Anolis sagrei: one gene and its partners. The protein of the gene in region 3 purifies or fractionates together with the protein of the main gene of each other region. This does not show direct contact. Links are inferred from orthologs where the notes say so. Each region holds a gene or a part of one and is shown on either strand. Other genes may lie near its edges. The genes, in order: PRRC2C, GRAMD1B, CSNK2A2 and OSBPL8.

Evidence for each region.
Region 1: the proteins of CSNK2A2 (region 3) and PRRC2C purify together in Homo sapiens (affinity purification with mass spectrometry; 3 studies listed by BioGRID and IntAct, with this or other methods). This does not show direct contact. The link is inferred for Anolis sagrei from reciprocal best matches to the Homo sapiens genes CSNK2A2 and PRRC2C.
Region 2: the proteins of CSNK2A2 (region 3) and GRAMD1B purify together in Homo sapiens (affinity purification with mass spectrometry; 3 studies listed by BioGRID and IntAct, with this or other methods). This does not show direct contact. The link is inferred for Anolis sagrei from reciprocal best matches to the Homo sapiens genes CSNK2A2 and GRAMD1B.
Region 4: the proteins of CSNK2A2 (region 3) and OSBPL8 purify together in Homo sapiens (affinity purification with mass spectrometry; 4 studies listed by BioGRID and IntAct, with this or other methods). This does not show direct contact. The link is inferred for Anolis sagrei from reciprocal best matches to the Homo sapiens genes CSNK2A2 and OSBPL8.

The regions. Positions count from the first base shown.
Region 1 is NC_090024.1:130,660,646-130,668,238, forward strand, and holds the start of PRRC2C (protein PRRC2C), read right to left. Parts: upstream 3,014-7,593; 5' UTR 2,913-3,013; intron 1-2,912. UniProt on the Homo sapiens protein: Required for efficient formation of stress granules.
Region 2 is NC_090027.1:35,190,226-35,197,367, forward strand, and holds the start of GRAMD1B (protein Aster-B), read right to left. Parts: upstream 3,008-7,142; 5' UTR 2,433-3,007; coding exon 2,053-2,432; intron 1-2,052. UniProt on the Homo sapiens protein: Cholesterol transporter that mediates non-vesicular transport of cholesterol from the plasma membrane (PM) to the endoplasmic reticulum (ER).
Region 3 is NC_090028.1:1,403,555-1,411,338, forward strand, and holds the start of CSNK2A2 (casein kinase II subunit alpha'), read right to left. Parts: upstream 3,004-7,784; 5' UTR 2,709-3,003; coding exon 2,605-2,708; intron 1-2,604. Other genes in the region: CFAP263 (cilia- and flagella-associated protein 263), read left to right, coding at 4,829-5,001.
Region 4 is NC_090025.1:146,618,770-146,626,190, reverse strand, and holds the start of OSBPL8 (oxysterol-binding protein-related protein 8), read left to right. Parts: upstream 1-4,416; 5' UTR 4,417-4,607; exon of another isoform or gene 4,608-4,618; intron 4,619-7,421. UniProt on the Homo sapiens protein: Lipid transporter involved in lipid countertransport between the endoplasmic reticulum and the plasma membrane: specifically exchanges phosphatidylserine with phosphatidylinositol 4-phosphate (PI4P), delivering phosphatidylserine to the plasma membrane in exchange for PI4P, which is degraded by the SAC1/SACM1L phosphatase in the endoplasmic reticulum.

The DNA of each region.
Region 1 (7,593 bases), on a different chromosome or scaffold from region 3:
TAAATCTTCATACACCTTGAAGTGAGCTCTTACCTTGAGTGCCCTGCCCTGTCTCAGTCAGGACCCTTCCACACAGCCATATAATTAAGAATATCAAGGCAGATAACCCACAATATCTGCTTTGAACTGAGTTATCTGAGTCCACACTGCCATATAACCCAGTTCAATATGGATTTTATACAGCTGTGTGGAAGGGGCCTGGATTATATGGCAGTGTAGATCTGGCCTCAGATAATTTAGTTCAAACCAGATAACGTGGATGACCTGCCTTGAAATTCTGGATTATATGGCAGTGTGGACTCAGATAACCCAGTCCAAAGCAGATACTGGGCCCATCCATCCAGCAGTATATCCCAGAATATCAAGAGAGAAAATCCCACATTATCTGAGGGCCCTTTGGACCCCTCCACACAGCTCTATATCCCAGAATATCAAAGCAGAAATTCCCACATTATCTGAATAAATAAATAAAATGGACTCAGATAACCCAGTTCAAAGCAGATGTTGTGAGATGCTCTGTCTTTATATTCTGGGATATAGGGCTGTGTGGAAGAGCTCACTGTATATTATCTACCTTGATATTCTGGGATATATGACTATGGGCCCTTCCACACAGTCCTATATACCAACTGGGTTATCTGAGTCCACACTCAGATAATGTGGGATTATCTACCTTGATATTCTGGGATATAGGGCTGTGTGGATGGGCCCTGAGTGTGGACTCAGATAACCCAGTTCAAAGGAGATATTGTGGGATTTTCTGTCTTGATATTCTGAGATATAAGGGCCACTGTGGATTATCTATCTTGATATTCTGGGTTATATGACTATGGGCCCTTCCACACAGCCCTATATACCAACTGGGTTATCTGAGTCCACACTCAGATAATGTGGGATTATCTACCTTGATATTCTGGGATATAGGGATGCGTGGATGGGCCCCAAGTGTAGACCCAAATAACCCAGTTCAAAGGAGATATTGTGGGATTTTCTTTCTTGATATTCTGAGATATAGGGCCCACTGTGGATTATCTACTTTGATATTCTAAATTATATGCCTATGGGCCCTTCCACACAGCCCTATAACCCAACTGGGTCATCTGAGTCCATACTCAGATGATGTGGGATTTTCTGCCTTTATATTCTGAGATATAGGGCTGTGTGAAAGGGCCCACTGTGAATTATCTACCTTGATATTCTGGGTTATATGCCTATGGGCCCTTCCACACAGCCCTACATCCCAACTGGGTCATCTGAGTCCATATTCAGATAATATGGGATTTTCTGCCTTGATATTCTGGGATATAGGGCTGTGCGGATGCCCCCCCCCCCCCCCCGAGTGTTAACCCAGTTCAAAGGAATTGTGGGATTTTCTGTCTTGATATTCTGAGCTATAGGGCCCACTGTGGATTATCTACCTTGATATTCTGGGTTATATACCTATGGGCCCTTCCACACAGCCCTACATCCCAACTGGGTCATCTGAGGCCATACTCAAATAATGTGGGATTTTTTGCCTTGATATTCTCAGATATAGGGTTGTGTGGAAGGGCCCACTGTGAATTATCTACCTTGATATTCTGGGTTATATGCCTATGGGCCCTTCCACACAGCCCTACATCCCAACTGGGTCATCTGAGTCCATACTCAGCTAATGTGGGATTTTCTATCTTGATATTCTGAGCTAATGTGGGATTTTCTATCTTGATATTCTGAGATATAGGGTTGTGTGGAAGAGCCCACTGTGGATTTTCTACTTTGATATTCTGGGTTATATGCCTATGGGCCCTTCCACACAGCACTATATTCCAACTGGGTTATCTGAGTCCATACTCAGATGTCGGATTTTCTGCCTTGATATCCCAACTGGGTTATCTGAGGCGATACTCAGATAATGTGGGATTTTCTGCCTTGATATTTTAGGATATTGGGCTATGAGGAAAGGCCCACCGTGGATTATCTACTTTGATATTCTGGATTATATGCCAATGGGCCCTTCCACACAGTACTATATCCCAACTGGGTCATCTGAGTCCATACTCAGACAGAGTTGTGTGGAAGGGCCCACTGTGGATTATCTACCTTGATATTCTGGGTTATATGCCTATGGGCCCTTCCACACAGCCCTATATTCCAACTGGGTTATCTGAGGCCATACTCAGATAATGTGGGATTTTCTATCTTGATATAGGGCTGTGTGGATGGGCCCTGAGTGTGGACTCAGATAACCCAGTTCAAAGGATATATTGTGGGATTTTCTGCCTTGATATTCTGGCATATCGGGCTGTGTGGATGGGCCCTGAGTGTGGACTCAGATAACCCAGTTCAAAGGATATATTGTGGGATTTTCTGCCTTGATATTATGGCATATAGGGCTGTGTGGAAAGGCACCCAGATTCAAGGAACCTGGAGGGAAAAATGCCGGAAGTTAAGAAAATGGAGGAGTCGAAAGCAATAAAGGAATATATAGTAATGGCAGAAGCTGGGAGACAAAAAACGGTGCATGGATGCTCAGAGAAAGCGCCAGGTATTGTTTTCTTCTGTAATTGCTTTTGCAAACTTTCGGCCTCACTCATCCTATTCTTTTTTGCCCCGGCCTACTGCCCAACAAAGCCGTTATAGCCGAGAACGGGAAAGCCCGTTTATTAGTCGTCGGAGCGGGCGAGAGAGGCCCTTGAAAGCCGAGGAGGGGGAAGCCAGGACCCCCTCCCGGCTGCCCATCCTTCTTTCCTTCCCCACCACCACGTTCCCAACCCCGGCCAGGCCCCCACCTAAGGCCGCCCGACAGCCTGTGGTGCGGCCTTCACAACCGGGAGGCGTAAGGCCTACCCAAGCCGGGTCCTGTCGTAGGCCTTCCCTAGCACCCCCCTTGCCGTGGTCCCTGTGGAACGCCGCCTCCAGAATACACTCACCCAGGCCAAAGGAACCGAGACCTTCCACACCGAGCGGGCCAAGATGGCGGGCGGATAGCCAAGCCGGCGGCACCTACTGCCGTCTGACGTCAACACGCACGCAGGCGCCGTGCACCACGTGACCGGGACTACCGCTACGTTCTAGAGGAAGTGGGCGGGGGGAGAACATAGCGGCCTTGCAGCGGACTTCCTTCAATTGCGGCCCTCCAGCTGTTCAGGCCTCCAACTCCCAGAAGCCCTAGCCAGCTTGTACAATGGTCAGGAATTCTGGGAATTGGAGGCCCAAACAGCTTTTAGTTGTAGGGAGGGTGGCTGCAAAGGGAAAGAGTGGCTCAAACTGTCAGCTGGATTGAGAGCTGATAGAGACCACATTGTCAGCCTCTAAACCAGTGGTTCTCAACCTGTGGGTCCCCAGGTGTTTTGGCCTACAAGTCCCAGAAATCCCAGCCAGTTTACCAGCTGTTAGGATTTCTGGGAATTGTAAGCCAAAACACCTGGGGACCCACAGGTTGAGAACCACTGCTCTAAACTAGCTGGCGACTTCATTATGGTTTAACCCATTAGTTAATATGATACTGTGAACCTATGATACTGTGAACCACCGCCTCCTCCTGAGAAAAATGTATAATATCACAAAGGACTACCACCTCACCCGCCTCATAGGAAACCTGCTACAAAACAGGAGCTTTTTTGTTGAGGTCCAGGGCCAGAGAAGCAGATGGCGGAAACAGAAGAGCGGCCTGCCTCAGGGGAGTGTGCTTGCTCCATCCATGTTCAACATCTACACAAATGACCAGCCACTGGCAGAAGGGACAGAGAGTTTCATCTATGCTGATAATCGTGCCATTACTGCTCAAGCATGGAGCTTTGACATGGTAGAACAGAAGCTTTCCGAAGCTCTAGGACAGTAGTTCTCAACCTGTGGATCCCCAGGTGTTTTGGCCTACAACTCCCAGAAATCCCAGCCAGTTTAGCAGCTGTTGGGCTTTCTGGGAGTTGAAGGCCAAAACATCTGGGGACTCACAGGTTGAGAACTTGCTCTCACTGCCTATTACAGGGAAAACCAGCTGATCCCCAACCCATCTAAAACACAGACATGTGCCTTTCATCTCAAGAACAGACAAGCATCCCGAGCTCTGAGGATCACCTGGGAAGGAATCCACTGGAGCATTGCAGCACACCCAAATACCTGGGAGTCACTCTGGACCGTGCTCATACCTACAAGAAGCACTGCCTGAACATCAAGCAAAAAGTGGGTGCTAGAAACAATATCATACGAAAGCTGACTGGCACAACCTGGGGATCACAACTAGATACAGTGAAGACATCTGCCCTTGCGCTGTGCTATTCTGCTGCTGAGTATGCATGCCCAGTGTGGAACACATCTCACCACACTAAAACAGTGGATGTGGCTCTGAATGAGACATGCCGCATTATCACGGGGTGCCTGCACCCTATACCACTGGAGAAATGACACTGCTTAGCCGGTATTGCACCACCTGATATCCGCCGGGAAGTAGCAGCCAATAGTGAAAGGACCAAGGCAGAGACATCTCCAGCTCATCCCGTTTGGGTATCAGCCAGCACGTCAACGACTTAAATCTAAAAATAGTTTTCTAAGATGTATAGAGACACTCGCTGGAACACCTCAGCAAGCGAGAGTCCAAAAGTGGAAGGCTCAAACCCAGAACCTCAACCAATGGCTGATACCAAATGAGAAACTCCCCCCTGGGCACACAGAAGACTGGGTGACTTGGAAGGCGCTGAACAGACTGCTCTCTGGCACCACAAGATGCAGAGCCAACCTTCAGAAATGGTGCTACAAAGTGGAATCCTCGACATGCGAGTGTGGAGAAGAGCAAACCACTGACCACCTGCTGCGATGCAACCTGAGCCCTGCTACATGCACCATGGAGGACCTTCTTGCAGCAACACCAGAAGCACTCCAAGTGGCCAGATACTGGTCAAAGGACATTTAATCAGCTACCAAACTCACAATTTTCGTATTTTGTCTGTTTTTTGTTTTTTTTGGGTTTTTTGCTTTGTTCTGTTAGAAATGTAATATAATCGACTGGTTGCACAGACACGATAAATAAAAAAAATTAAAAAACCATGAGTGGCCACCAAAAAAAAAAGTTGGCCTTTTGCTTGCCATCCATGCCTTGCCTCTCTCTAATTTACCTTAGCGGTGCCCACTAGGCACCAAAATTATATACCCAGAATGAAAATATCCAGCATGCCAGGAGAAGGCTGGGAGAAAGAGGAATCCCTCTACTCTTTATGAAGTACTAGATGTAGTCATTCCAGGCACTAAGGGTATCTCACCTCCAATTTGGTGCCTGGAAGTTGTACTCTCGGAAAATGTACTCTCAGCCTTCTCTTCTGCAGGCTAAACATGCCCAGCTCTTTAAACCGCTCCTCATAGGGCTTGTTCTCCAGATCCTTGATCATTTTAGTCTTCCTCTTCTGGACACAACTCCCTTAAATTGCGGTACCAGAATTGGACACAGTATTCCAGATGTAGTCTGACCAAGGCAGAATAGAGGAGTAGCATGCCATCCCTGGATCAACTACTCCTATTTATGCAGGCCAAAATCCCATTGGCTTTTTTAACTGCCGCATCACATTGTTAGCTTGAAGACTTCAGATGTCTATGCCACAAAAAGGAGTATTTATCTTTGTACTAGAACAGAAAATCGTAAATATTGTGCCTTATGATTCTGTTGTTCTATCTAGATTGCATTTCTAGGGTAGTGGTAAGCGGTAATGCAGTCAAATAATAATAATAATGCTGCAAATAGACTAATTTGCATGGCAAGTGCACATGGCCAGGCTTTAGCACTTGATCTGAAGGACCTGGTGATAAAAAGTAACATTTTGTTATACTTAAAATGTAAACAATTTATCATTTCAATTCACAAAATTACTTATGTGATAAAACATTTGAGAAAGATCATAGAAGATGGTACATTATTGCAATATAAAATCAATGTCGTAATGTAAAGTTGTGTGCTTTCCCTTTTTTCTACAAGACATTTATTTTTAAAAATGGTAGTTAATAATTTGGGGGCGGGGTGGTGGTGGGGAGAACAAGCACTTATCTTTGTCTAGGGCATAAATAGTCTGGCATTAGCACCGTGTGGATTGTAGGCAGCTCATGGTGGAAGTAAAATAATATTTAACACATATATGATTAAAGAGTGAATTAAAAGCAAAATGCATCCAGCCTCTACTTTTCTTTTGATGTTTATTTTGCTGGCCAAACTTAAAATACCCTTTTTAATATGCTGGGGGCACTGTTGAGAAGGTTTGTCATTCTCCTTTTTTCCACTGTTTTGTTGTTCATGCATGCTCAGTAATGAATTCTGGAGGCAGCCGCTCTAGTATCCCATTCTCCTGTTAGAAATTAATTGCATTGTTTGCTATTTACTACTGCAACCTGATATTAAAGGTCTGTGTTTCTCCAGCCCTCCTTTACCACCCTATCAAAGATGCTGCTGCTAAAGGACTTCCAGCCAGGAAGAAAAGGGAGGACTGGAGTGGGTTAGAATTATTGCTTTAGTTAACATCTTTCTCTCTGTGTGTGTGTGTGTGTGTGTGTGTGTGTGGAGAGAGAGAGAGAGAGGGCATGGTATAGTGGTTTGAAGATTGGATTGTGACTCAAGACTAGGGTTCGGGTCCCCGCCTGTGTGGGGCTTGACGAATGCAAGGCTGGGGTAAAAATTGCTGGAAGAAAAATTAACAACCTTAGATATGCAGATGATACCACTTTGATGGTAGAAAGCGAGAAGGAGCTAAGGAACATTCTAATCAAGGTGAAAGAAGAAAGGGCAAAAATCTGGGTTGCAGCTAAACATCAAAAGAACCAGGATTATGGCAACAAGAATGGTTGACAACTAGGAAATAGAGGGAGAAAACATGGAGGCAGTGACAGACTTTGTATTTCTAGGTGTAAAGATTACTGCAGACACAGACTGCAGCCAGGAAATCAGGAGACGCTTACTTCTTGGGAGGAGAGCAATGGCCAATCACAATAAAATAGTGAAAAGTAGAGACATCACACTGGCAACGAAGATCCGCATAGTTAAAGCAATGGTATTCCCCATAGTCACCTATGGATGTGAGAGCGGGACCATAGGGAAGGCTGAGGAAGATAAATGTTTTTGAATTGTGGTGTTGGAGGAAAGTTCTGAGAGTGTTTTGGACCACGAGAAGATCCAACCAGTCCATACTTCAGGGAAAAAAAGCCCGACTGCTCATTGGAAGGAAGGATAGTAGAGGCAAATATGAAGTACTTTGGCCACATCGTGAGAAGACAGGAAAGCTTAGAGAAGACAATGATGCTGGGGAAAATGGAAGAAAAAAGGAAGAGGGGCCGACCAAGGGCAAGATGGATGGATGGTATCCTTGAAGTGACTGGCTTGACCTTGAAGGAGCTGGGGGTCGTGACAACCGACAGGGGTCTCTGGCGTGGACTGGTCCATGAGATCACGAAGAGTCGGAAACAACTGAACGAATTAACAACATATTGATAGCAGCTAGGTATGACTGTGAGTTTCATGATGTGATACCTAAGGAGGTTTGGTAATGGCTGAGTCATAACCATGTGATGGTTATTTCAAAAGGATTGCATCAACCAGTGATTCTTACTGATCACCTATCACAGCTGGCTATATAAGGA
Region 2 (7,142 bases), on a different chromosome or scaffold from region 3:
TCTGACCTGTGGGTTTTTAGTCCTGCTGGCACAAAGGTTTAACCCAAGCGTCCTCAAACCTTTTAAACAGAGGGCGAGGTCACAGTCCCTCAAACTGTTGTAGGGCCGGATAACAATTTGAAAAGAACATGAATGGATTCCTGTGCACACTGCACCTATCTTATTTGTAATGCAAAAAACACTTAATACAATAATTAAAATGAAGAACAATTTTAACCAATATAAACTTATTCGTATTTCAATGGGAAGTGTGGGCCTGCTTTTGGCTAATGAGATAGGGTTGTTGTTGTTGCTGTTGTTGTGTGCTTTCAAGTCATTTCAGACTTAGGTTGGCCCTAAGCGAGGGCCGGGTAAATGATCTTGGAGGGCTGTATCCGGCCCCCGGGCCTTAGTTTGAGGACCCCTGGTTTAACCCATTGAACCACCGCAATTCAATTGCAGTAACTGATTAACTGCTTAGTTGCAAACCGTGAGGTTTCATTTGGACTTTTGACAAAGCAACCATGTGTTTTCTTCATTGAACATCCTCTAAATATTGTATAGTGTGCTAATTGTGATCTCAATTACTTCTGAGCAAACATAATGAATATTGAATTGTCTTATCATCATGAATGTCACTTGATATAAATGCCAACCATGGTTAAGAATTACATGCATTTCAGAGTAAACAGCATCACGAACTAAACAGATATTTCCCAGCCAGATATATCTCAATGAAATATATTTTACTCAGCTCTCAAGGTTTGTTTGGGGTTTTTTGCAGACTTCCAGTTCAACATAAACAATAGAGACCTATATAAACCAAACAATTCTGTAAGTTATTTAACCATGTGATCTGTGAATACAGCATTCTGGTCCAGTAGAGCCAGGTGTGACTCTATGGCCAATTGCCCATTTTTCATCATGATTTTCACATCTCAATGTTACACTACACATGACCAAAGACTTATTTCTCCTTCTCTGGCTATGATTTAATAAATGGGCAATAAATGGTGGTACAAACTAGCGTATCAGAAACATACAGCATCTTGAAAATTTCCAATAACAATTGTACTTCAAGCCTATCTCTCATTTTCCTTACAATCTGTCTAGAGCAGTGTTTCTCAACCTGGGGGTCGGGACCCCTGGGAGGGTCACAAGGGGGTGTCAGAGGGGTCGCCAAAGACCATCAGAAAACACTATTTTCTGTTGGTCACAGGAGTTCTGAGTGAGAAGTTTGGCCCAATTCTCTCATTGGTGGGACTCAGAATGCTATTTGATTGTAGGAGAGAACTATAAATCCCAACAAATACAACTCCCAAAAGTCAAGGTCTATTTTCCCCAAACTCCACCAGTGTTAACATTTGGGCATATTGAGTACCCATGCCAAGTTTGGTCCAGATCCATCATTGTTTGAGTCCACAGTGCTCTCTGGATGTAGGTGAACCACAACTCCCAAACTCAAGATCAGTTGCCACCAGACCCTTACAGTATTTTCTGTGTGTCATGGGAGTTCTGTGTGCCAAGTTTGGTTCAGTTCCATCATTGGTGAAGTTCAGAATGCTCTTTGATTGCAGGTGAACTATAAATCCCAGCAACTACAACTCCCAAGTGACAAAATCAATCCCCCCAACTTCTTCAGTATTCAAATTTGGCCATATCAGGCATTTGTGCCAAATTTGGTCCAGTGAATGAAAATTCATCCTGTATATCAGGCATTTACATGGCGAGTCATAATAATAGGAAAATGACAGTTATGAAGTAGTAATGAAAATAATGTTATGGTTGGCGGTCAACACAACATGAGGAACCGTATTAAGGGGTCGCAGCATTAGGAAGGTTGAGAACCACTGGTCTAGAGATACAAATTTGGTCTCTGAGATCAAGGACTAAGAAATCAGTGCCAAATGGGCATCAAGTTGCCATCTCTCTTCATCTGGTTTAACCAGCAGAGGGAGACAGAAACAAGATAGGACATGCACAGGAAGTTGCAGGAAGCAAGAGGAAACCCATTGCTCCTGCTCCTCAAGGATTTCCCCATGGGCAATGGGAAAGGTGAAAGAGATGACCCACCTGCTCTCACTGTACTCCTTCTTCTCCCTGACATTCAGCCACTTGCGGAGCAGGAAGCGCTTGCGTCGCGGAGAGGCGCTGGGTGTGGAACAGTTCGACCAGGGGGTGTCCTCATCACTAGAAGGGGTGATTTCAATGGAGGGAAGTTGTAGGAAATCCTTATTTGAGGAAGGTGCGGCCTCCAGGCTCTGCTCGTGAATGTTCCTCGTGCGCCGCATCCTGAACCGCCTTCGGCGAAAGGTTGGCGTTGATGAGCTGGACCAGGCTCGGGCACACTCCACCTCCTGCTGCTCTGGGACTTGCAGTGCAGGGAGTTGAAGGGTTTCAGTCATCTTGGCAGTTGGCATCAGCTCCTGTGTCACTTCTCCTCCCACTTTCATTTACTCCAAGGCGCCCTCCTTCTCACCCCCTCCCCACCGTGGTCTCAGTGCAAGCCACACCAAAGAATCAAAATCCGCCTTGCTGCCTTCTCACCCAGCTTGGCATCTTCCCTCCCTCGCCAGTCGGAAATCTCATATTCCTCAGGTGGTTTCATTTAACAAGGAAGAGCCTCAAGGCCACCAGCAGAGCCAGCTCCAATGTGTTCTTGAGTTTCTACCCAAGTCCAGTGACCTTAAGAGAGAACTTTCTTCCTCCACATGTGGCTCCTTCAAAACACCATCAGGGACAAAAGCTGAGTTGCCAACCACCGGCTTCCCTTTGCTCTGCTTTGCCGTGCTTCCAGAAGTGTTTTCTTGCCTCCTTGTGTGGTGGATCAACGCCTTCTCCAGGGCTCAGCTGAAAAACTCTCATCTGTACAGCACTTCGGAGTGACTGAATGGAAAGTGAGGAGGAGCTGTGAGAAAGTCAGAGAAAAAGAAATGGGGGTGGGGGAAGAGAGAGAAAGACAGACACAGAGCCAGGGACAGGAGGAAGGAAACCGTGACATAGAATACAACCGAGAAAGAAGAAGGGATTGGGAGGAGAGAGAGATTCTCCCCACTTCCAGCAACTGATAAGCTCCGGCAGCTGCTGACAGTGTAACCATACTCTTAACTCAAGGGACAAGGTCTCTGTTACTGAATGTGCTTTTGCTCCAATCAGCCAGAGGAAAAAGACGGAGAAGGCGGGGGGGGGGGGGGGGGGATGAAAACAAACCTTTCATACAAGGTGATTGGTTGGGCTCACCCTCCATGTCACATTTCCATGCTCAGTGTCCCACCCTGCAAAGGGAGGGGGAAGTAGGTGACCTCTAGGCATAGTTGTTGTGAGTTGTTTTGCTGAATGCTTTCTAATTCAAGTCACACACAGTGGAAGAAGGAAAGACACATAAGACAGGTGATTTCAAGGAGACAATCAGCTGGAACGTCACCATCATTATCATCATCATCATCATCATCATCATCATCATCATCATCATCATGGACACCTTTCAAATCGCCATTTATCACACCAAACATAATCAGAAGTGAAACCTGAAGCAAAGTGAATGATACTTTTTTTCCAGCTGAATTGAGCACCAGTTTCTTCAACCGACAAAGTGTTAATGAACCCGCAGGACCTTCCTTTTTGTTTCTGACACAATCCTAGAATGCATTTCCATGGAAAAGAAATGATAAGGAGCAAAAGAGGAAGTGACTTCTGGGTACGGAGCTGCTTCCAAAATGACATGCTTTTGGTACAGAGATTCCAGTTAAGAAAGACTCACAGACTGCATGCAGAGACACATACACAATCATATCAGATCAAACAGCGTGAGAAAGTCTTACAAGCAGCACAAGAGGGGAACGATTCAACAATAACCTCACCTCCCTACAAAGGAGAAGTAAAGAAATGCCACTATGTTGAAAAACAAAAAGTGCTAATGATCAAGGGCTGAAGAAAAAGGTATCTTTTGGTAGCTTCATTTCACTTTCCTTGTAGTCGCTGAAGAATTGTGACCATGGATGAGACAAGCAAATGCTTTGCCATGCTAATCAACAGCAGGCGACAAGATGAGCACTCTTTATTTTTATGCTCGGTTCTATCCATATCCTACTTATCTTATGGACTCAGCTATGCCACCTTTCCTCTTTTACAAAGACTCATTAGCAATGTATTTTAATGTGATCAAGCCTTCTTGGTGGCCCCCTGACACATGCTGTCTTAGCAGCTGGTGCACCATGCTCCTTTTAGATGCTCCTCTCGCTTCCCTAATTGCCATTTCGCAGTCAGAAGCCACCTGTGCAACTTGCTCCCTGCCCACAATTTATTAATGAAAAAGTCATTATAACTATCACAAGAGAAGAAGCCAACAGCTTCTAAGAAAGGACTCTCATGTGCCCCACAGAAGAAAACAATAGAATCAGATTTATAAACATAAAGAAACCAAGTGTTTCCAGGAAAGTCAACTAAAAATATAGGATGTAACCTCCTGCATGGAAAACGCTTACAAGTGGCACCAGTTTTCCAAATATTGACCCAGTTTGAAGTTTCCAGCACCAATGTTTTAATTTATTTATTTATTTAGTATTTATTTACTATATTTGTATACCACCTTTCTCAGCCCATAGGCGACTCAGGGTGGTTAATGGCAAAATTCAATGCTCACAATGTCATAAATACAATTAAAAACATAACATATAATAAAAACTAAACAAATCAATAAAATATAAATTCATAGTGTCTCCTTGTTAAAAATGTTGTCCGGACATTGTCTAGTTGTTCCATTTTCCTGTGCAAATGCTTGTTCAAAAAGCCACATCTTGACTTTTTTCCGGAATGTTAAAAGGGAGGTGGCCAATCTAATATCTATAGAAAGGGCATCCACAGCTGAGGGGCCTCCACCGAGAAGGCCCTGTCTCTCATCTCTGCCAAACGTACTTGTGACAAAAGCAGGGCCTTCCCAGACGATCTCAAGGTCCTAGATGGTTCATAAGGGAGATGCGTTCGGACATGTAAGTTCGGCCAGAACCGTTTAGGGCAGTGGTTCTCAACCTGGGGTCTCCAGATGTTTTGGGCCTACAACTCCCAGAAATCCCAGCTATTTTACCAGCTGTTAAGATTTCTGGGAGTTGTAAGCCAAAAACATCTGGGGACCCCAGGTTGAGAACCACTGGTTTAGGGCTTTATAGGCTAAAGCCAGCACTTTGAATAGTGCCCAGTAGCAAACTGGCAGCCAGTGGAGGTAGCGTAATAGAAGAGTTGTACACTCCCTGAGCGCTGCTCCTGTTAGCAATCTGGTTGCCGTTCGTTGGACCGTTTGAAGCTTCCGGGCAGTCTTCAAAGGCAACCCCACATAGAGTGTGTTGCAGTAGTCTATACCGGATGTAACCAGACTACATGTAGTACATGTCAACTGAAAACAGAGAGGAAAATAATGAATACAGGTTACTACTTAACACAGGGATGGGCATATCTAGAGGGCTTCATCATCCAGCTTTCAGCATCTCCAGACTTTTGAAGGTCTGTGGGGTGCTGTTGTGGCCCCCATTCTGGTCAACTAGAAATTATATTGTGTCATTCCTGGTCACTTTGGGGGACTTTTCTGGGTAAGTGTCATGTTATTTTGAAATGGTGAGCTCCCCTGCCCCAAATTAGCATTTCAAATAGCATTGGAAATGGCAGAGGTGATTTGGTTTGGAGAGGTAACAATGAGAGATTGGCTGAAAAGAGATAAGGCATTGGAAGTCCCAAAAACTCCACTGGACTTGCCTTCCTTTGGGTTTGGCCCACATGATCCTTCTTTTAACTAATGGATTTTAACGGCATGACGACATTTTGGTCTCTGATACCCAAAAAGATGTGACAGTCTTCGTTTGCTGAGTGCGTGCCTGAGGAACATGAATATTATACAGCAAGGCAACTATCATGGTGTTTTATAATCATGCAGCTTTGTTACTGTTTTCATTGCAAAGTGCCTTGAGTATCAAACATGTTGTTGTGTGCTTCCAAGTAGTTTCCAAATGTGGCAACCTTAAGGAAAAGCTTTAATGGGTGTTTCTCAGCAAGATGTGTTCAAGTGGAATTTGCCCTTGCCTTTGTCTCAGGTTAAGACAATGTGACCTGCCCAAAATCACTCAGTGGGTGTCCATGGCCGAGCGGGGATTCGAACACTGGTTTCTCAAGACATAATCCACTGCACAGGGCACTGGCTTTGCTATGTAAACCTCCACAAACTTTTACATAAAATAAAAATATTCCACAACCTGAGGAAATCCACATTTTGTAAAAGGTGTAGTACTTGATCCCCAAGATGTTATACAAACAGTTCCTTGGCACCCAAAGCTTTCTAAGTAGATTTTCTCATTACCAGGCAACATATCCTTATGTCATAATATTCTTCTGTGTCACTTTTCAATTTTGGTCAGAGGACACTGGGCACCTGTTAGATGCTCTTTGAAACACAAGAACTCTGTAACAAGAGAGATACAACAGTGTGCCTAGCCATAAGGTTTGAAAAGTACTAGCTATTGAAAAGAGTTGTTGCTCTGGACAAACGACAAAAAAGAATTGGTTTCACTACAAACATTGGTCTTTCCTCCACTTATATAGTATGGCTTAGTTCAAGCTAATATTCCTGGCTACAGTGAGATTGATATAAGCGTAGACATAATAATAATAATAATAATAATAATAATAATAATAATATTTATTTATACCCCGCCACCCAAGGGGACTCGGGGCGGCTTACATGAGGCCACACCCATCAATACCGAAACACAATATAACACAAAAACACAACAGAAAATCAGAAAATAAAATAACATAAAATACAAAAATACAAAATGTAAATATACAGCACAACAATATAAAATCAAAACATTAAACCACTAAAAATGAACACAATGGGCAAGACCAGTACAAAAATTAAAATTTTAAAACACTGGGAGATAAGGCAGTGTACAATATCAGGAAGGGTATCCGGGGGATAAGGTAAAAGTTCATTGCACAAACCAGAAAATAAAGTGCTTCTGAGGACATTTTATGCAGAGTTTGGTCAGGGATTATATCACACATTCAGTCATTGAAGGCACATTTGAACAGCCAAGTTTTCAGGCTCCTCCTAAAGATTTCCAGGGTGGGGGCATGCCTAATATCTCTGGGAAGCGAATTCCAGAGCCAAGGGCCAC
Region 3 (7,784 bases):
GGGTATGTACATAGAAATAGATACAGATTGATTGATAGATATAGATATAGATCAGACCTGGGCCACCTTGGGCCCTCCCTCCAGGTGTTTTGGACTTCACCTCGTACTGGCTTTTAGGAATGGTGGGAGTTGGGAGTCCAAAACACCTGGAGGCAGGGCCCAAATTGGCCCAGGCCTGAGATAGATAGATATGGTCAGATAGCGATACAGATATAGTTATAGCTATAGTTACATAGAAACAGACAAATAGATATAGATAAAGAAATAGTTATAGCTAGAGATGTAGGTCCAGATATAATTACAGCTATACTTATATAGATACACATACATAGTTATAGATAGAGGTGTAGATCAGGGCTGGGCCAACTTGGGCCCTCCCTCAGGTGTTTTGGTCTTCAACTCCTACTGGCTGTTAGGAATGATGGGAGTTGGAGTCCTAAACACCTGGAGGGAGGGAGGGAGGGCCCAAATTGGCCCAGGCCTGAGATAGATATAGATATATAGATACAGATAGAGCTATAGCCTGGCCCTCCCACCCACCCCCCAGGGGATTTGGAGTTCAACTCCCATCATTCCTAAGAGGTGGAGTCCAAAACCACTGGAGGGAGGGAGGCCTGAGAGAGATAGAGTTGTATCCCAGGCCTGGCCCACCCTCCCTCCAGGGGTTTTGGACTCCAACTCCCATCATTATATAGATACAGATACAAATAGATAGAGATGCAGATCAGGCGTGGGCCACCTTGGGCCCTCCGTCCCTTCAGGTGATTTGGAGTTCAACTCCCACCATTCCTAACAGGTGCAGGCATCGGAGTCCAAACCACCCAGAGATGGTGGCAGGTTATAAATAAATATTATTATTATTATTATTATTATTATTATTATTATTATATACAGATAGCTAGAGATGTAGATCAGGCCTGGGTCACCTTCGGCCCTCCCTCAGGTGTTTTGCTCTTCAACTCCTATCGCTGTTAGGAATGGTGGGAGTTGGAGTCCAAACCAGCAGGAAGGACGGAGGGCCCAAGATGGCCCAGGCCTCAGATAGATAACTATAGTCAGAGATATAGATACAGGCACACAGAGATAGATAAATATAGATGTAGATCAGTACTGGGCCACCTTGAGCCCTCCCTCCCTATCTCCAGGTGTTTTGGACTTCAACTCCCACCATTCCTAAAAAGTGGGAGTTGTAGTCCAAACTAGAGGGAGGGACGGAGGGTCCAAGATGGCCCAGGCCTGAGATATAGTCAGATATATACAGATATATGTTGTTGTTGTTTGTATATACAAATATAGCTATAGTTTTGGACTTCAACTCCCACCATTCCTAAAAAGTGGGAGTTGTAGTCCAAACTAGCAGGAGGGAGGGAGGGCCAAAGTGGGCCCAAACCTGAGATAGATATAGATAGATTGTTGTTCTTGTTTGTATATACAGATATAGCTATAGTTTTGGACTTCAACTCCCACCATTCCTAAAAAGTGGGAGTTGTAGTCCAACCACCAGGAGGGAAGGTGGGCCCAAGATGGCCCAGGCCTGAGATAGATAGATAGATATAGACAGATATATACAGATATTTGTTGTTGTTGTTGTTTGTATATACAGATATAGCTATAGTTTTGGACACCAACTCCCACCATTCCTAAAAAGTGGGATTTGTAGTCCAAACCACCAGGAGGGAGGGCCCAAGATGGCCCAGGATTGAGATATAGTCAGATATATACAGATATTTGTTGTTGTTTGTATATACAGATATAGTTTTGGACTTCAACTCCCACCATTCCTAAAAAGTGTCCCAGGCCTGATAGATATAGACAGATAGATACAGATATTTGTTGTTGTTTGTATATACAGATATAGCTGTAGTTTTGGACTTCAGCACCCACCATTCCTAAAAAGTGGGAGTTGTAGTCCAGGCCCGAGATAGAGATATCCAGATATTTGTTGTTGTTTGTATATATAGATGTACCTATTGTGATATAGATACAGGTACACAGAGAGAGATACCAATGGAGATGCAGCTCAGGCCTGGCGCTCCCACCCACCCACCCACCCTTCAGGTGATTTGGACTTCAACTCCCATCATTCCTAAGTCCAAAACCACTGGAGGGAGGGAGGTCTGAGATAGACACAGACAGAAATATCCAGATATTTGTTATTGTTTGTATATACAGATATAGCTATTGTGATATAGATACAGGTACATAGAGAGAGATACCAATGGAGATGCAGCTCAGGCCTGGCCCTCCCACCCACCCACCTTTCAGGTGATTTGGAGTTCAACTCCCATCATTCCTAAGAGGTTGGAGTCCAAAACCACTGGAGGGAGGGAGGGAGGCCTGAAATAGATAGATAGTTGTATCCCAGGCCTGGCCCACCTTGAGCCCTCCCCCCCCCCCTCCAGGGGGTTTGGACTCCAACTCCCATCATTCCTCACAGCCTCAGGCCCTTTCCTTTTCCCCCTCAGCCGCTTAAGCGGCTGAGGGGGAAAAGGAAGGGGCCTGAGGCTGTGAGGAATGATAGGAGTTGTAGTCCAAACCCCCTGGAAGGCGGGAGGAAGGGCCCAAGGTGGCCTAGGCCTGGGATGGATGGCGTGGTTCGCTTACCCCCAGGCGGGGAGGTGGGCCTCGTAGTCCCAGTACTCTCGGCTGCGGAGGCTGTTGACCTCGGCGTAGACGCGGGCGCGGCTCCCTGCGGCGGGGCCCGGCATGGCGGCCGAGGAGGAGGAGGCGGAGGCGGCGGAAGGCCTGAGGAGGAAGGGCCGGGCGTGCGAGGCGTGCGAGGCGGGCGCCCACCTGAGGAAGGCCCGGAGCGGGAACGGGAGCGGACCGGCCGCGGGGAAGAGCGGCGCCAGGGCCAGGCCCGAGGGGGGAAGCGAGGAGGAGGAGGAGGAGGCGAAGGCGGCGTGGCGCCCACCGGCCCCGAGAAAGTCCGCCGGCACAGGCCGGGGAGGGACGGGGAAGGGCTTCCGGCGCGCAGGCGCAACAGAGGCCCAGCCCACAGGAGAGGAAGTCGCGTCACGGAGACAGGCAGGAAGAGGCGGGGCCGGAAATGAGATAGTCACGTGACAAGTCCGGGAAAGCGGATACTACTCCCAATCAGGGCTAGAGAGGGTCACGTGAAGAAGAGGGCGGGGCCAAAGGGAGTGACGTACTCAAGGGGGCGGGGCCTGAAGCGGCCTCTTGTAATCAGGGAGTGACGTAGGCAACGGGGCGGGGCCTGAAGCAGCCTCTCTGATGACAAGAGGCCGCTTCTGGCCCCGCCTCTTTGCCTACGCCACTCCCTGATTAGTGGCGTAGGCGAAGAGGCGGGGCCAGAAGCGGCCTCTTGTCATCAGGGAGTGACGTAGCCAAAGGGGTGGGGCCAGAGACGGTGTCTTGTAATCAGGGAGTGGCGTAGCTAAAGGGGGCGTGGCCTGAAGCGGCCTCTTGTCATCAGGGAGAGACGTAGAGAAAGGGGCGGGGCCAGAAGCGGCCTCTTGTCATCAGGGAGTGACGTAGCAAAAGGGGTGGGGCCAGAGACGGTGTCTTGTAATCAGGGAGTGGCGTAGCTAAAGGGGGCGTGGCCTGAAGCGGCCTCTTGTAAACAGGGAGTGACGTAGGGCAAAGGGGCGGGGCCGGTAGCGGACCCTTGTAATCAGAGTGACGTAAAAAAGAGGGCGGGGCTAGAAACGGCTTCTTGTAGTCAAGGAGTGACGTAGGCAAGGGGCGGGGCCAGAAGCAGGCCCTTGTAATCAGGGAGGGGACAAAAGAGAAGGACTCCAATCCAAAGCTAGGGAAAGTCACGTGATGGGGTAGGCGTGGCCGGTTGCGAGAGAAGCTCCTCCTTATTAAAATGCACATAAGAGGGCGTGGCTAGAAGTGAGGCAAAGCGGGCTTTAGACTAAGGGATCACGTGATGGAGTAGGCGGGGCCATAAGTCAGGAAAGCTCCTCCTCATTAATAATTCACATTGAGAGGGCGCGGCTAGAAATGAGGCAAAGCAGCGTTTTCTACTTAAAGGGAGTCACGTGACAGAATAGGCGTGGCCTGTTGCGAGGGAAGCTCCCCCTCCTTATTAAAATTCACTTGGGAGGGCGTGGCGAGAACTGAGGAAAGTTGGCCTTTCTACTTAATAGCGTCACGTGACGGTGTAGGCGTGGCCGATTGCGAGGGAAGCCCCTCCTCCTTATTAAAATTCGCATGCGAGGGCGTGGCTAGAAGTGAGGCAAAGCAGCCTTTTCTACTGAAGGGAGTCCCGTGACAGAGTAGGCGGGGCCATAGCTGAGGGAAGCTCCTCCTTATTAAAAATGTACATGAGTGGGCGTGGCTAGAAGTGAGGCAAAGCGGCCTATCTAGTGAAGGGAGTCACGTGACGGAGTGGGCGGGGCCTTAAGTGAAGGAAGCCCCTCCTCCTTATTAAAATTTACGCGAGAGGGCGTGGCTAGAAGTGAGGAAAAGCCGACTTTAGCCTAAGAGAGTCACGTGACAGAGTAGCCGGGGCCATAAGTGAGGAAAAGCGACCTTCCTACTGAAGGGAATCACGTGACGGAGTAGGCGGGGCCATAAGTAAAGGAAACTCCTGCTTATTAAAATTCACTTGAGGGGGCGTGGCCAGAAGTGAGGAAAAGCGGCCTTTCTACTGAAGGGAGTCACGTGACAGAGTAGGCGTGGCCATAGCTGAGGGAAAGCTGAGGCTGCCACTCCCATCCGGGTCCTAGGGGAAATAGGCGGGGCCAGAAGAGAAGGGAAGTGAGGGGGCGTGGCCGGAAGTGAGGGAGTTCGGCGCCTCAGCAACCACAACAACAGCAACCACCACCACCCCAAGAAGGCCATTCTCCTCCTCGTCGCCATGGATTCGTCCTCGTCTCCGGTCTCTCTGCGCGGCCTGGTCGTGATGGCGGACGAGGACTCGGAGCGGGAGAGCGTGCAGGCCGGGGAGTCGCGGGAACTGGGCGAGGAGCTCCGCCGCGACCTCAGCCAGATCTCCCTCGTCAGCCTCGCCGCCGCCATCCAGCAGACCAGGTCCGCCCACTCGGGGAAGACACCCCAGGACAAGCCTCCTTTCTTAGGCCTTTGGCCTGCCACTCCCGCCATCCCTCACCGCCTCACGACACTTCCTTTCCCCCCTCAGCCGAATAAACAACCACATGATATTCCCCCTTCCCCGGTGCCACCCCCACTAGTGATCATAATAATAATAATAAACTTTCTTTGTATACAGCTCTATCTCCCTGAGGGATACTCAGGCCGGTTTCCAAGTAACATCCCCAAAACATACAGCGTAAACATATATTTATAATATTATTGCTGTGGCCCTCATGGGGGTTCTGTGTGGGAGGTTTGGCCAAATTCCATCCTTGGTGGGGTTCAGAATGCTCTTTGATTGTAGGTGAACTATAAATCCCAGCAACTACAACTCCCAAATGTCAAGATTCTATTTTCTCCAAACTCCATCTGTGTTCACATTTGGGCATATGGAGTATTTGAGTATTTATGCAAAATTTGGTCCAGATCCATCATTTTTGAGTTCACAGTGATCTTTTATTATTATTATTAAACTTTATTTGTACCCCGCTAGCATCTCCCAAAGGACTCAATGCAGCTTACACAGGCCAAGGCCTCAACAACAACAACAAACAATAACAATACGATGCAAAGCAAATTAAAAACATAAGCAATAACGAAAACAAAACATTACACAATAAAACCAGGGCCGGGCCAGTGATGGGTACAGATTAAAAAGTGCTGGGTGTGAAAGGTGATATATTGGGATTCTGGGCAAGGGCAATGTGCAGAGAGTCTTAAACTCTAATAAAGTGCTTCTGGGACATAGTGCTGGAGGTTATCCTTTTCTGGGAAGGCACATCAGAATCTCTGGATGTAGGTGAACTACAACTCCAAAACCAAAGGACACTACACACCAATCCCTTCCAGTATTTTCTGTTGGTCATGGGAGAGCTGTGTGCCAAGTTTGGTTCAATTCCATCATTGGTGGGGTTCAGAATGCTCTTTGATTGTAGGTGGACTATTGTTGTCTGAGTAGCATAATCCTCCAGGGTGTGTCCGTAGGTGACTATGGAGCCCTATTCTTGATCTGCATCTTCTCCCGCAGTGAGGGCATCGGTTTCCAGGTAGAAGGAGGTCCCAGTTGGGCTTGGCTTGACACGCCTTCCTCTTGGCACGTTTCTCTCTTTCACCCTCCATTCGTTCCTCTTTAAATTCTGCAGCACTGCTGGTCACAGCTGACCTCCAGCTGGAGCACTCATGGTCCAAGGCTTCCCAGTTCTCAGTGTCTATGCCAGAGTTTTGAAGGTTGGCTTTGAGCCCATCTTTAAATCTCTTTTCCTGTCCTCCAACATTCCATTTTCACCTTGTAAAGAACGTATCAATGCCACCAAAAATATGTAAAGAAGTCTTTATCTCACCGAATGGCACCAAAAATGTAAGAAAGTTCCTAGAATGTTAAATTAAACTGCCACCAATAAGTTTAGAGACGCTGGTCTTAAAGTCTCTGTTTATCCCTATTTACGTTGTGAGGTAACTTTGGTAGAGTGGAATGCACCGAACATAAAATCAATGGAGGAGGCAGGTTTAAAATACAAAGAGAACAAGTTTATTATTAACAAAGCGTAATTGTTGCAATATTGAGATGTTGAACTTGACACATGCTTGATGGTTACAATATGGCTTGGTCGAGATACATTCAGGCTTCTGATGTTACAATCTTATAAACTCCTTCTTCAGTGAAGTGCTTTATTATTTCAGTGTTCCCTATTGTGAATATTCACACTGTTTGTCCTATACCGGATCAAACCACTGATCTCCAGTCTTCCACTACTGGCGATCCTAAAACCCCCTCTGTTAGATTCTTTTTAACTCAAGCAATCTAACGAGGTTTCCCTTCAGCTCCCTTGCTGAAGAAATATTCACAAATACTAAGAACTAACTGAATTTACACCGCTTCACACCACAGAGCCCTAACTGACTCTGCCCTCTTCTCAGGGTCTCATCCTCCTGACTGAAAATTAACTGTCACTTTCAAACCTTTTTCTCCTTAAGCTCCGCCCACCTCCTCTTCTTGCCTTGTCACCATGGCAACCTATCTCTCACAGCTAGGACATGGCAACCAATGTAAAACATAAATACAGTTTAAACACATTATAAATAACACTTTATAATAAACATTATAAATACAGTTTAAACACATTATAAATAACACTTTATAATAAACATATCTCTACACACCTCTGCAGGAGTCTACCGTGTACCATGCAGCTGTGGACAAGTCTACATAGGGACTACCAAACGCAGTGCCCAGACACGCATCAAGGAACATGAAAGGCACTGCAAACTACTCCAACCAGAGAAATCAGCCATAGCAGAGCACCTGATGAACCAACCTGGACACAGCATATTATTTGAGAACGCAGAAGTGCTGGACCATTCTCACAACCACCATGTCAGACTACACAGAGAAGCCATTGAAATCCACAAGCATGTGGACAATTTCAACAGAAAGGAACAAACCATGAAAATGAACAAAATTTGGCTACCAGTATTAAAAAACTCAAAAATTACAGCAGCAAAACAACAGAGGGGGAAAAAAAACAGGCACATGAAATCACTCTCAACAAAAGATTCTCCCCAGGTGCTTCCAAGCCATTGAATGCTAATCAAGGTGATCAGCTGAAACATTCACATCTAGCCCCAGGAAACAAAAGTCCTTTGTCTCACCCTGGTCATTCCACAGATATATAAACCCATTTTTCCCAGTTCCAACAGACCTCACTCCCTCTGAGGATGCT
Region 4 (7,421 bases), on a different chromosome or scaffold from region 3:
ATAAGGTGTATTTCTCTGTATGTGTCATCAAAAATAGCCAGGCGTGTCAGTGCTGACACACGTGTCATAGGTTCACCATCACGGGACTAGACGATGGGACCGGACAATGTTTTTAACAAGGAGACACTGTGGATTTATGTTCTATTGATTTTGTTATGATTTTTATTATATGTTAATGTTTTTAATTGTATTTATGGTATTGTGGACATTGAATTTTTGTCCTGTAAACCGCCTTGTCACCTATGGGCTGAAAAAGGTGGTATACAAATACAGTAAATAAATAAATAAATAAATATTTTAATACATGTATAAAATGACCTTCAGGCCATTCGTTGTTGTGTTGTTTATTCATTCAGTCGCTTCCGACTCTTCGTGACCTCATGGACCAGCCCATGCCAGAGCTCCTTGTTGGCCATGGCCACCCCCAGCTCCTTCAAGGTCAAGTCGACCACTTCAAGGATACCATCCATCCATCTTGTCTTTGGTCGGCCCCTCTTCCTTTTTCTTTCCATTTTCCACAACATCAAGCTTTCCACAGCTTCTCCAAGCTTTCCTGTCTTCTCATTATGTGGCCAAAGTACTTCATCTTTGCCTCTAATATCCTTCCCTCCAGTGAGCAGCCGGGCTTTATTTCTTAAAGTATGAACTGGTTTGATCTTCTTGTGGTCCAAGGCAGTTTCAGGCTATATGTGTAAGTATATATGTTGCAGCATCAATGAATTTTGCAATTAGACTTGCGTCCCATCGCCAAGATATCTCATTATGTATAGTCCAACATCAAAAAAAATCTGAAACCCAAAACACTTCTATTCCCTAGCATTTTGGGTAAGGGATACTCAACTTCTACTACTTTTAGGACCACAAATCCTGATACAATATAAGGTATTCCAAAATGCAAAATACTTCCAGTCCCAAGCATTTCAGAAAAGGAATGCTCAACCAACACATGATAGAAGAGTTGCACAATATTGTTCTTTATCTCCTCCTCCTTATCTCTGCTCCTTCAATGCGGGTTCTAACTTCCTGATAAATGCATTTGGCACAAACAATTATTTCAACACTTTGAAACAGCCAGCACAGCTACAAACTGTACAAACTGTCCAGCTGATTGTTACTTAAGGTACACAGCTGAAAACAGCTGATAACTGGCTGCTTTCTGTTTTATCCAGATACCTCTCTGAGCAGCTATTTTCGCTCTCTCTAACTGCTCTGCTCAAATCATCCCGTCTCCTGTCACAAACCTGATAATGCTTTTTTGAGTGTAGCAAATTGGTTTTTTCCTTTAACGGTTTGCATAGCTTAATAGTTAAGGCATTGTGAACATCGGCTATGTAAGTTTGATGAGATCAGACTATGGGTGCATCTACACTGTCAAATTAATGCAGTTTACCACCACTTTAACTGCCAGGACACAATGCTGTGGAATAATTAGAGTTGTAGTTTGGCGTGGCATCCACACTTTTTGGCAGAGAAGGCTTTTTACTTGTTGTGTCAGAAACAAATTGAGAAAAGTTATAATGTATAGCAAAACCACAAACAAAGTTTAAAAGACTAGGCATTATACTAAATTTCCTTTGACCAGAAGCTGCCCACTTGGAGTGCCTCTGGTGTTGCTATAAGAAGGTCCTCCATTGTGCATGTGGCAGGACTCAAACTGCATTGTAGTAAGTGGTCTTCTTCACATTCACATGTCGTGGACTCCACTTTGGAGCCCCATTTCTTAAGATTGGCTCTGCATCTCACGGTGCCAGAGCGCAGTCGGTTCAACGCCTTCCAAGTTGCCCAGCCTTCTGTGTGCCCAGGGGGGAGTTTCTCATCCGGTATCAGTCATTGATTGAGGTTCCAGGTTTTAACTTGCTACTTTTGGACTCTTGCTTGCTGAGGTATTCCTGCGAGTATCTCTGTGGATCGTAGGAAGCTATTTCTTGATTTAGGGCGTTGGCATGCTGTCTGGTATCCAAACAGAGGATGGGTCTGAGATGTCAATGCCTTGGTCCTTTCATTACAGGCTGCTACTTCCCGACAGATGTCAGGTAGTGCAATATCGGCTAAAAAGTATAATTTCTCCAGTAGTGTAGGCCATAGACATCCTGTGATAATGCAGCATATCTCATTAGGAGCCACATCTATTCTTTTAACGTAGTGAAATGTATTCCACACTGGCCACGCGTATTCAGCAGCAGAGTAGCAAAGAGCAAAGGCAGATGTCTTCACTGTCTGGTTGTGATCCCCAGTCAGCTTTCGTATGATATTATTTCTGGGACCCTCTTTTTCTTGATATTCAAGCAATGCTTCTTCAAAGTCAGAGCACGATCCAGAGTAACTCCCAGATATTTTGGTGTGCTGCAGTGCTCCAGTGGGATTCCTTCCCAAGCAACTTGCTGCAGGCAGAGAAGGCTAAAGATCTTGTATAACCATAAGTCTCAGGAATCCATAGCATTGCATCAATGGTGGAGATGCCCCCTATGCTTGTACTCTTAATGACTAGGTATTGAATACGTACATTTACCATTTGAGGTGGAGCCAATTAGAAGATGGGATGTCATCAATACAGTATTTTGTTTCTTGGAAATGTAATAATCACTGCTTTATTGGGACAAAATATAGTTGATATGATGTTGTGAGCATCCTTTGAACATGAAAATAAACTGTGACTAATTTGAAAGTGAGTTTCTGTATGTTTGGATTAGTGCATCCAATAAGGCAGGCATCCTCAAACTTTTTAAACAGAGGGCCAGGTCACAGTCCCTCAAACTGTTGGAGGGCAAGATTATAATTTGGAAAAAAAACATGAATTCCTATGCACACTGCACAAATCTTATTTGTAGTTCAAAAACACTTAAAAACAATACAATAATTAAAATGAAGAACAATTTAAACAAATATAAGCTTATTAGTGGGAGCCCCCAGTGGCGCAGTGAGTTAAAGTGCTGAGCTGCTGAGCTTGTGGACTGAAAGGTCCCAGCTTTGATTCCAGGGAGTGGTGTGAGTTTCCGCTGTCAACCCTAGTGTCTGCCAACCTAGCAGTTTGAAAACATGCAAATGTGAGTAGATCAATAGGTACCGCTCCGGCGGGAAGGTAACAGTGCTCCATGCAGTCATGCTGGCCACATGACCTTGAAGATGTCTATGGACAACGCCAGCTCTTCGGCTTAGAAATGGAGATGAGCACCACACCACAGAGTCAGACATGACTGGACTTAATGTCAGGGGACTACCTTTACCTTTACCTTTAAGCTTATTAGTATTTCAGTGGGAAGCGTGGGTCTGCTTTTGGCTGATGAGATAGGATTGTTGTTATTCTTGTGTGCTTTCAAGTCATTTCAGACTTAGGTTGACCCTGAGCGAGGGCCGGGTAAATGACCTTGGAGGGCCGTATCCAGCCCTTGGGCCGTAGTTTGAGGACCCCTGCAATAAGGTGTCTGTAAAGGAATATAGAGGAGCCCCCGGTGGCGCAGTGGGTTAAAGCACTAAGCTGATGAGCTTGTTGACTGAAAGGTCGCAGGTTCGATTCCGGGGAGCGGCGTGAGCTTCCGCTGTCAGCCCTAGCTTCTGCCAACCTAGCAGTTCGAAAACATGCAAATGTCAGTAGATCAATAGGTACCGCTCCGGCGGGAAGGTAACGGCGCTCCATGCAGTCATGCTGGCCACATGACCTTGGAGGTATCTACGGACAACGCTGGCTCTTCGGCTTAGAAATGGAGATGAGCACCACACCCCAGAGTCAGACATGACTGGACTTAATGTCAGGGGACTACCTTTACCTTTTTAAAAGGAAGATAGCTAATGAAAGGAGTGTGAAAAGAAAAAAGAAACAGCCACAGCCTTCATCATAGGCAAACCCGACCTTAAGTGAGAGGCGATGCAGGGGATTGTGGGATTTTATTCAGCTGTGTGGAAGGGGCCATAGGCATATAAAATCCAGATTATCTGCTTTGAACTGGATTATGTGGCAGTGCAGAAGGGGCCTTGGCATTGCCTCTTTATTCTTGAACCAGGAGCCTTGAATGTTTTGCTCCTCCTGAAATATCCTCATATCAAAACAATGTGTGTGTGTGTGTGAAGAGGGTGGCAAAGTGACAGCTGCTGGGTTTATGCAGTGGTTGGCAAGGCGCCTTTCCACAGAAACTGAAAGGAAAGGGGCGGGGCGAAGAGAGCCAGCGCGAGAGAAGGGCTGGACCAATCAGAAGCCTTCCGGAGAGCCCAGGGGCGACGCCTGAGAGCCTACTTCCCTCCGTACGAAGGATGCCCCCAGTCACGTGAGGCCTCCCAAGGGCGTGGCTGCGGTTGCCCTCTCTCTCTCTCTCTCTCTATTCCCCCTCCTTTCCATTTTTGTCGTGAGTCGCGCGTGCGCGCTCGAGTCTGCAACAACAACAAAAAAAAAGAAGAGGGGTGCGCGCGCGCGGGGTGTGTGTGTGTGTGTATGTGCGCGTGCGCGGCTTGCTTTCCAGCCGGCGCGAGCGGCGCGCGTGCGCAATTGAGGGTCCCGAGCCTTTCTCGGCAACTCTAGTTTTCCTTTCCTTTTTTTTTCTCCTCTTTGAACCTCGAGCATCTCGTCGCTTCGGCCGTGGCTCTTTCTGGAGGCGGCAGCTCAAGGCCCGGATCGGGTGAGGAGGAGGTAAGAGGGAAACGAAGCAAGGGAGAAGGGAGCCTCGCCTCGTTGTCGTCCCGCTGGCTCTGGGGAGGGATGCGAAGGAAGGGGTGGGGCGGGAGGGGGCAGCCGGGGAAAAGCCTCCCTCATGGGCCTCCCTCCTTCCTTCCTTCCCTCTCTCTCTCTGTGGTGGTCGGGAGCCTGGCTGCGTGGCGTGACCTTGGGCTTATGCCTGCCTCTCACTTCTGGGAGCCTTGAGCATCACCATCATAATAATCACCCACCCCAATGACAGAGGCTCCTCGTGCTGCTGCATTACTGAACTGAAGAGTTTCTAATGGCTTCACATCTGGCGCACCTTTGGCCAAAGGAAAGCCGTGTTTTGTTTAGGGTCTTGTTGTGTACAACCTGGCCCTTGACCGCTCCAGCTGGAGGCCAGCTGTGACCAGCAGTGCTGCAGAATTTGAGGAGGCACGAATGGAGGGCGAAAGGGAGAAGCGTGCCAAGAGGAAGGTGCGTCAAGCCAACCCCGGCAGAGACCGCCTTCCACCTGGAAACCAATGCCCTCACTGCGGAAGAGGATGCAGAGCAAGAATAGGGCTCCACAGCCACATACGGACCCACAAGAATATTGGAAGACAATCATCCTCGGAAAGCGAGGGATCGCCTAAGTAAGTAAGTTGTGTACAGTATCTCTTAATCAGACCGGAATGTAGACTGCTATATCCCAGGCATGGGCAAACTTGGGCCCTCCTTCTAGGTGTTTTGGACTTCAACTCCCACCATTCCTAACAGCCTCTTAAGTGGCTTAGGGAGAAAAGGAATGGGCTTGAGGCTGTTAGGAATGGTGGGAGTTGAAGTCCAAAACACCTAGAGGGAGGGTCCAAGTTTGCCCATGCCTGGGATATAGCAATCTACATTCTGAACTGATTAAGAGGTACTGTACACATAGAATCAAAGAGTTGGAAGAGACCTCATGGGCCATCCAGTCCAACCCCCTGCCAAGAAGCAGGAATATTGCATTCAAATCACCCCTGACAGATGGCCATCCAGCCTCTGTTTAAAAGCTTCCAAAGAAGGAGCCTCCACCACACTCCAGGGCAGAGAGTTCCACTGCTGAACAGCTCTCACAGTCAGGAAGTTCTTCCTCGTGTTCAGATGGAATCTCCTTTCTTGTGGTTTGAAGCCATTGTTCTGCGTCCTAGTCTCCAGGGAAGCAGAAAACAAGCTTGCTCCCTCCTCCCTGTGGCTTCCTCTCACATATTTATACATGGCTATCATATCTCCTCTCAGCAAGATACTAAACAAAACACGGCTTTCCTTTAGCAAAAGGTGCGCCAGATGTGAAGGCATTTGAAACTTCTTCAGTCTAGAAATCCTTTGGAGTATGGTTTTAGGTATTCTTTGTACAGCAGACTCTCAGGCCCCTTCCACACAGCTGAATAAAATAATAATGATAATAATAATAATAATAATAATAATCTTTATTTATACCCTGTCACCATCTCCCCAGTGGGGACTCGGCGCGGCTAACATGAGGCCAAGCCCTTTAAAAATACAATACAGCACAGTAAAGTACAGAATACAAAAAACAAAATGCATCAGAAAATAAATTACAATAACAAAATGAAATAATAAAGCAAATTCACACAATATTAAATCGAACAGGATGGGTAGGCCAAACAGACAAGATAAAGTGATAAAACCCTGTGTGAGGTAGGAATAGGAGATATGTAAGTGAGGGGAGAAAATAAAACAGTGGGGTAAGGCTTTCAGTTTGGAATGGGGAAAAGTGCATCATAGGGGCAACACTATAGATGGGGCAACACAAATGGGATGGGTGGCCACTCTCCAAAGGCACATCGGAAAAGCCAGGTTGTCAGATTTTTCTTGAAGTCTGCTAAGGAGGGGGTTTGCCTAATCTCATCAGATAGTGAGTTCCAAGGACAGGGAGCCACAGCGGAGAAGGCTCTCTCTCTCATTCCCACTAGTCTTGCCTGTGATAGAGCAAGAGGCAAGAGGAGAGTGTCCCTGGTGGATCGGAGAGATCATGCAGGTTGGTGGTAGGAGATGCAGTCATGGAGGTAGGCGAGTCCCAAACCGGTTAGGTCTCACATTATTGGCTTTGAACTGGAATATATGGCAGTGTGGAGCCCCCAGTGGCACAGTGGGTTAAACCACTGAGCTTGTTGATCAAAAGGTCCCGCTGTTAGCTTCAGCTTCTGACAACCTAGCAGTTCAAAAACATGCTAGGTTGGCTAGAATAGGTACTGATTCTGTGGGAAGGTAACAGTGCTTCATGCCACATGACCTTGGAGGAGTCTACGGACAACGCCGGCTCTTCGGCTTAGTGTTGGAGATGAGCACCAACCCCCAGAGTCGGACATGACTAGATTTCATGTCAGGGGAAAACCTTTACCTTACTATGTGGCAGTGTGGACTCCAGTAACCCAGTTCAAAGCAGATATTGTGGGATTGCCTGCCTTGATATTCTGGGATATATGGTGCTATGGAAGGACCGTCAGTTAACTGGAACTCAAGCAGCCGGCACTCTCAAGCAAATGGCAACAAAATTCAAAGATATAATACTTTTAATTTTTTTTATAATACATTAAAACAGGAACATTGAGTTCAATTTGTTTTTATTTCTCTTTTAATGACTATTTCAGTATTAATATCAAGTCAATACAGAATTTATGGTATAGTATCAGGTATAGGATTAATTAAGCCCATTTTAATAGTAACTCTCAAGCAACCTGAAGATACATTCACCCAGCATCTACCAATCCCCATGGGTGCCAGTTAACTGAGAGTACTGTTTCCATATATG